2 linked regions of the Drosophila melanogaster genome follow. Changing the gene in region 2 together with the main gene of any one other region gives a genetic interaction. Each region holds a gene or a part of one and is shown on either strand. Other genes may lie near its edges. The genes, in order: Den1 and Nedd8.

The links.
Region 1: of Nedd8 (region 2) and Den1, changing one suppresses a phenotype caused by changing the other (phenotypic suppression), as found in Drosophila melanogaster (one study listed by BioGRID).

The regions. Positions count from the first base shown.
Region 1 is NT_033778.4:12,336,400-12,340,241, reverse strand, and holds Den1 (deneddylase 1), read right to left. Parts: upstream 1,943-3,842; 5' UTR 1,823-1,942; coding exon 1,794-1,822; intron 1,710-1,793; coding exon 989-1,709; 3' UTR 698-988; downstream 1-697. Other genes in the region: CG8839 (uncharacterized protein), read left to right, coding at 1-349; CG34021 (uncharacterized protein), read right to left, coding at 2,701-2,904, 2,974-3,255.
Region 2 is NT_033779.5:18,950,204-18,953,720, forward strand, and holds Nedd8 (Nedd8 ubiquitin like modifier), read right to left. Parts: upstream 1,635-3,517; 5' UTR 1,513-1,634; coding exon 1,495-1,512; intron 1,335-1,494; coding exon 1,204-1,334; intron 1,144-1,203; coding exon 1,038-1,143; 3' UTR 803-1,037; downstream 1-802. Other genes in the region: CG10428 (uncharacterized protein), read left to right, coding at 1-721; CG10621 (uncharacterized protein), read right to left, coding at 2,136-2,794, 2,955-3,134, 3,201-3,357. UniProt on the Drosophila melanogaster protein: Ubiquitin-like protein which plays an important role in cell cycle control, embryogenesis and neurogenesis. Covalent attachment to its substrates requires prior activation by the E1 complex Uba3-Ula1 and linkage to the E2 enzyme UbcE2M.

The sequences.
Region 1 (3,842 bases), on a different chromosome or scaffold from region 2:
GCACGGATCTCCCAAGTACGATCATCTGGTGCGCAAACGAAATGAGCTGAGGGAGGAGTTGCAAAGCCTGCTGGGCGATAATGGTGTGCTGATCTATCCCACGCATCCCACGGTGGCTCCATACCACAATGAGCCCATTACGCGACCCATTAACTTTGCCTACACTGGTATTGTCAATGTGCTGGGCTTCCCGGCCACCGCTGTGCCGCTGGGCAAGCTGGGCAGCGAGGGTCTGCCACTGGGTGTCCAAATCATCGCCAACTTCAATCAGGATCGACTTTGTTTGGCCGTTGCCGAGGAATTGGAGCGAGCCTTTGGCGGTTGGGCCAAGCCCGAAGTTCGGCTCTAGGAGCAGTCTCAAACGTGCAAGTATGCAGCTTAGCTAGCTTTTAGATAGTAGTGGTCAGGTTAACGTCCTGGTCTCCCCCCACCCATTACTAACTACCCCTACCCACCCGAGCATTCGCCTGGCGATGAAAGGTATTCCTTGTGTACTCCAGTGCCTCATTGTAATATCAATTTTCGATGTGGATTTATCTATTTTGTATGTGTTTTTAAATGTAATCTAATCATAGATCCGCGCGGATCCGTTCCCGTTTTGCATTTATAATAAATAATTGCAACCAACTGATATCTTTGTTTTCATTAATTGGCGACAGGCGCCCATTGACCAAACAAGCAGAGAAGTCAGAATTCTGAATTCGAAGCCAACGCGTTTTGTGGCTAAACAAATCTTTATTTTGAAAGACCAACCTTAAAAATATGCCGACTCACCGCCTCAATTGCTTTTAGTTTGCTTTTGTTTTTTAAACATTTTCATTCGGCAAGGAAAACTAAACCCACTACAACTAGCGATATCATGGATATCGTATTCACATATGTAATTCCGATGCTCCTCTCATTCTTCGGCAACGAGTTACATTCGTAATTTGGTCACTTAAAAACTACTCGGCTGTGGGCGGTTCGGCAGGGCAATCCTCGCTAGCCTCTAGCCCTTGCCGCCCAGCGACAGGATGAGTTTCAGTAGCTCGGTGCGCTTCGCCTTCACGGTGTCGATGTGCAGCGACGGCAGTCCGTCGATCACCTCGTATCTGTTTAGGTAATCGGCAATGTGGTCGGTCATGCAGATAACATGGATGCCACAGTCGTAGCCGTTCGCCTGCTGTAGGCAGCGCATGGGCCGGAATTTGGCCATTCGGACGCCAAGCAGGTCCTTGATCTTGTTCATCAGCTCCAGGGAGTTGCCCGTGTTGTTGTTCCCATACGAATCGAAGTGATAGAAGGTCTTCTCCGGACGCGAGAAGACCAACAGTGACCAGTGGCTGCCACCAGCATCGGTGGTTTCGTTGTCGTTCAGCGCGAAGAAGATAAAGGGCTTGCCAGTGGTGTTGCTCTGGTCGAGAAGCTGCTTCAGCTCCTGGTCGCCCATGTACTTCATACACTGCGTAATCTCCGGCGCAATGAAGTGCAGATCCGCATTGGTCTTGTACTTCATGTGGGCCAGGTATTCGTAGTAGAAGCTCAGGATCTGGTCGTTCAGCCAGTGCGGGCCGTGGAGCAACTGGACGTCGGACATCCGCAGGCAGGAGTCGTGGAAGGTCAGCGAGATGGGGTCTGCCTTGGAGTTGCTGCCCATTTTGGTATGGAAGCTATTGTTGGTGAATCTGGGGCGCCGGCGATTCGTATTCTGGTTCTGGCGTGTATGTTGCCTGGAATGAAAATAAATGGCAAAAAATTGATTTAAATCATGTTGTTGCGACTAGATTCGTGTTGTTCCAGCTGGCGACTATCACCTAAGTATTTTCCTATCGTGGGGCAACATTTTCACTAACAATCTTCGCGAAAATTCGGCTAAAAGAATAAAATTTTTCCGGCGACTAATACAACTCCAGGGTTTCAAAGTCAACGCAGGAATGACGTTTTCGGTTTCCTTTTGCTTTTGCTTTCCCTTTCGTTTGCCGGCCGGTACTGTTGTTATTGTTGTGGTTTCAAAGCAATCAGAAATCAGTCATGCCAAGCGCATTTTAAGAACACTATAATCGTATTTTAAACCAAAATAAACATATCGAAATTAACTAATCTTCGTACAAAGCTGTTTTGTTATTGTCTTTGACAACGAATGGGCGTAGCAAAACAAAATAGAGGACACTGAGGAGGTGAAGGTGGTGGTCAGATCCCCACATATATATTTTTTACTCACCACGAAAAATGGCTACTCCTCCTCCTCGAAGTCGCGACCTCGCTTTTTGTCCGTTCTTTGGACACTCCTCGCGTATTACCATTTATTTGGCTGTTTGGGAGCAAATAACTTGAATTTACCAACTGATATTTTCACTAATATAAAAAGTTACACAACACTCTGAATAGTTTTTCCGCTTTTCCGCTCAAATAATAAGTCGCCGTACTGTATATCTTACTTTCTGGCTTGGGCTGCCAGACTGCTCGCTAAATAGGTGGCAGTGCAGACTGTGAAATGCAGTGTTGCCTAATGTGGCAAAGTTATAAAAAGTAATTTAAATATGTATAATTTAATTACAAATATTTTTTATTCCTTTTAAAAAGTTTTTTGAATTTATTAAGTTCACATTTTTAACATTTCTTGCAATCTGATTTTTTTTTTTTTTGAATTTATTAAGTTCACATTTTTAACATTTCTTGCAATCTGAATTTTTTTTTTTTGAATTTATTAAGTTCACATTTTTAACATTTCTTGCAATCTGGCTTATAATTTTCAGGGCAAACTTGCTTTTCGGGTATGTTGAAACTCGCAGTGGTATTAAAATTAGTTTGGCATTTAGTTTCCGAAGAAGTCTCGCTGGATTCTGGAAACGGGGCACATCCTTCGTCAGGATTCCACGTACCCCCTCGCAACTGCTCTTCCAACCACTTAAGTTGCTTGTTTATCTAGAAAATTACAATTCTTTTAAGCGTTTTTTTTTTCATTTATGTAAATATGCAAACAAAAATTATTGCCTTTTCTACCATCTCCTCGTCTCTTTCGCTTCCAAATAAATTGGCTGTAAATTGGTAGATATTCGATGGCTTTGCCTTAACCGCCTCGGCTGTAATGACCCGAATTATGGCTCGGATCTCTGGATGGCGTTGTAGATATGTCCAATCGTCCTTGCGCATATTTCGGGAAATATTTCCAATAGTTTCATAAAATTTTGATACGTTTTCGTTAATGTTTTTAGCATGACTAGTATTTTCCGTGTTTTCGGTTTCCTCAGCGCTTGATGTTTTCGTGACATCCATATTCACTTTGCCAGAAAAATGTATATTTTCAAATTTTAATTATTTTGAAGTATTTCGTTCATTGGTGCTTGTGGACTTAAAACTCAACGAGTTTTCGATAACCAACATTTTGTACAAAATAGCCAATTCCAAGCTTAAAAATAAAAAATAACCCAACTCCGTGACAATGTTTATTTGAACATTGCCGTGACCAGGATTCGAACCTGGGTGTGGTAACCCACAACGTGGGGTCCTAACCACTAGACGATCACGGCTACATTGGATTGCGCCCAGCAATTCCAAGATCCCACCACGTCACCTAATAAAAAAAAATTGCAGATGTAATTAGTAAACACTACCCCAAATCAAATAGAAAATCAAATAATAAGATTAGCAAAAACATGTTTTATCATTTATTTATATATCATTTCAATTTGTTTAATAATTATTTTCATTTTCATCAAAATAATTAGAGTGTAAAAAAATACCCAACTCCGTGACAATGTTTGTTTCAACATTGCCGTGACCAGGATTCGAACCTGGGTTACCACGGCCACAACGTGGGGTCCTAACCACTAGACGATCACGGCTACATCGGGTGATGCGAG
Region 2 (3,517 bases):
CGACTGGGAGCAGATTGAGCCCACACATGCTAAGAGTTCAGCGCTGCCCAAGGAGAGACTCGAGCGCAAGAGGCAGCAGCTAGAGAACTTGGCCAATGCGGTGGTTTCCCTGGCTCAACCGGGCGACCGCATTGTGGACTTCTGCAGCGGCACAGGGCATTTGGCCATACTGCTGGCCCTCAAGCTGCCAAATTGTACCATTATTGTGATGGAAAACAAAGCTTTCTCCCTGCTTCAAGCTCAGAAAAGATCAAACGAATTGGGTTTGACCAACTGCGTTTTTTACCAATGCAACATAGATTACTTTGTCGGAGGATTCAAGATCGGGGCCTCTTTGCACGCGTGTGGAACGGCGACAGATATCGTTTTGCAGCAGTGCCGGAGAGCCAAGGCACATTTTGTTTGCTGTCCTTGCTGCTACGGTTCTCTGCAGCCCATGCCTCACATTTCGTACCCATTGAGCAAAGCGTTCCAAAAGGTGTTAGACACAAAGGACTACTTGTACATTGCCCACTCGGCAGATCAGGCACACGAGATGGGGACAACCAACTGCAAGCCAGAAACCACGCTTCAAGGACTCCACTGCATGTCCGTGGTGGACACCGATCGCCTGCTGCAGGCGGAGGAGGCGGGCTACCAGGTCATTCTCACACGCTTAAAGCCCGAACAGTGTACGCCAAAGAATCACCTGCTAGTCGGACGTTTTGTTAAACAGAACTGAACTTACAATCTGCCACTGAGACAAAATAAATGCCTTTTTGATATGTTTTAAACCTTAGCCCACCATTGTGGAGTGTTCTTCTTTTTTTCGAATGATTTAGATGTTGGCTTACAAAAAAACATGTTTTATTACGGACCCGGTTGGCCCCAATCCATTCTGTCTAAATTCCTCCGATGCGAATACACTTTGTTTTCTTCTAAACCACTTTTAAGACTTCTTTTTAGTTTACATATATTAATTCTCCATATGACGCTTCTCAAGCTTAATATATTTGAGTGAATTTTAAATGAATGTTTTCCACTTATGAACACGCTAGTTACACACAAGGTGTTAGGATTGAATCACCTCCTCGCAGAGCCAATACCAAGTGAAGAACGGATCCACCTTGCACTTTGTAGTCCGCCGCGGTTTTATCGTCATTCCTGGGGGGGATCGCATGCGAAATAAGCTAAAATCAATGACCAATAGCCAGAAAGACTCACATTTGCTTGCCGGAGAAAATAAGACGCTGTTGCTGGGGCGGAATGCCTTCCTTTTCCTCCACGCGCTCCTTGATGCGATCTACCTTGTCCGTGGGCTCAATGTCGATCTCGATTTCCTTGCCGGTCAGGGTCTAATGGAAAGATAATACATATTTACATTAATAATCCAGCCACACATATATTGACTGTAATATTCGACGATTTTGTTGTTGTTCAAAGTGCCCGCTGGGCACGATGGCTGTGATTTATCTTTATCCTACTTTTTTGCTACTCCATATCTTCCACACTAACCTTCACTTTGATCAACATTTTGTGTGTATTTAACTAGGCGCTCCTGTACAAATTCAAAATTGCCGAAATTTTTGCAAATCTCCACAGCTGGTTCTCTTTTTTGGCTGTCACTTTCGGCGTTGGTACGACTGGCAACTATCGATAGTACTGTCGATGACCATCGATTGTTTTCCACACTATTACAAATATAGTATTTTCTCCATCATTCCATCTCTACACAATTCACGTGTAAAAAAATACATTTCGAAAAAGGAGAACTTAATTTATGTAAATTTTTTGTAGCTTGATTTATAGTGTGCCCATTACGGTTAGAAGTCTCACATATTTAGAATTCAAATTCTCCTTAAATTATTTTACTCATGAGATGCAAAAATCCATTGAATGCCATTACTACATTTTTTAACTTTTGAAAAAAATGGAAGGCGTCACTTTTGAGGGATTTGAATTAAGAGCAATTTGTTTATTAATGTTTTATCTCGGATCTTAGAAAATTAAAAAGTATTTTTTTGTCTTTTGTCTTTTCTGTTTTATTAAAATAAGTTGTATGCCTTAATAACTAAATACATTTATTTACAGTACTAAATGGATAACTACTTTGTTCTTTTCGAAGGTACTGAGATCCCCAGCTTAGAAGTTCATCCCTATGAGAGCTTCTTCAGTTTGTTCCAGTCGCGAATGGCCTCCCCGATGTGGCGTATATCCCTCGCATAAGTGCGACAGCATCCCCCAATGACCTTGGCCCCCAGTTGCGCCCACTCCGGAACGTAGTTCGCCAAGGGCACACAGTGCTCCCTTCCCTGCCAGCCGTTGACCACGTCGTATACCTCTCCGCTATTGGGGTACACCACCAACGGTATCTGCTCACCCACTTCGCGGTCACCATTCAAACTCTTAAAGAGCGGGGTCACAAACTTCGGATGCACACAATTTACTCCGATGGCCAGGCACTTATCCTGGGCATTTCGTTCAGCCAAGAGGTCCCAAATAGCATTCGCCGCGTCCGCAAAGGTTTCTCCATGCGCCAGGGTATTCTCATCCTTGCACTGGAAGGCCACCCAGAACTTCACATCCGGATAATCATCGCACAGCATCTCCACCAGGGCCTCCGCCTCCATTTGACAGGGAATCGTCTCGATGGCCAGCGCATCCACACCAGCCTCCAAGCACGCTTCGATCCTCACGCGATGCCAGTCCGTAATCTCCTTGGCCGGCACAAAGTCGGCATAGCTACCGGTGTACTCGGAGCCATCGTGCAGGTGGGCCCCAAAGGGTCCAATGGAGGCAATGATCAAAGGGTATCCTTTAAAAACAATAAATTGGAATATATAATTGGTAAATATTACTATATATAAAATAAAGTATTAAAGAAAGTATTAAAAGTAATGACCCTACCACATCATTCACTTGACCACAATCTAAATTAATCCCGCCCGAGCTGGACCTCATGGATGTCAACTTACCCTCCTGCACCGACAGCTGCGCCTGATAGCACTCGGTGAGATAGCGTTCCTTGGCGATGTGGGCCAGGCGGACCGTGTTCTTTATCAGCTCGATGCTCTGCTCCTCGTCCAGCTCCAGGTACTCCATGTAACCATCGACACTGGACTGGTAGGTGTTGGTCAAAATGATATCGGCACCATCTGGTGTTGTCAAGGGGAAAATTCAGTTAGTATGTTGCCAATTGCTACCGGAAAACAATTGCTTACTCTGCAAAAAGTCCAGGTGGGTGCTGATAATGGCCGCCGGATTGGTGGCATTGAAGCGGGCACTCCATAGCGGATCCCCATCCACAGAGTCACCCACATGGACGGTCATCTGGGTGCCGAAACCGCCATCCTTCACCAGCACGCGCGTCAAACCCATGATTGAAAGATTACTAAGAGGGGTGGAGGATGATCCGTTGAAAATTGATTATTAGTTACATTTCTACGTCAGCGGGCTGCGAGATAATTAAATATGTATATTGCGTCTGCCACCTGGATTCCACTGCACTCAGGGCGATGTTATACAATGTATCGGAAGA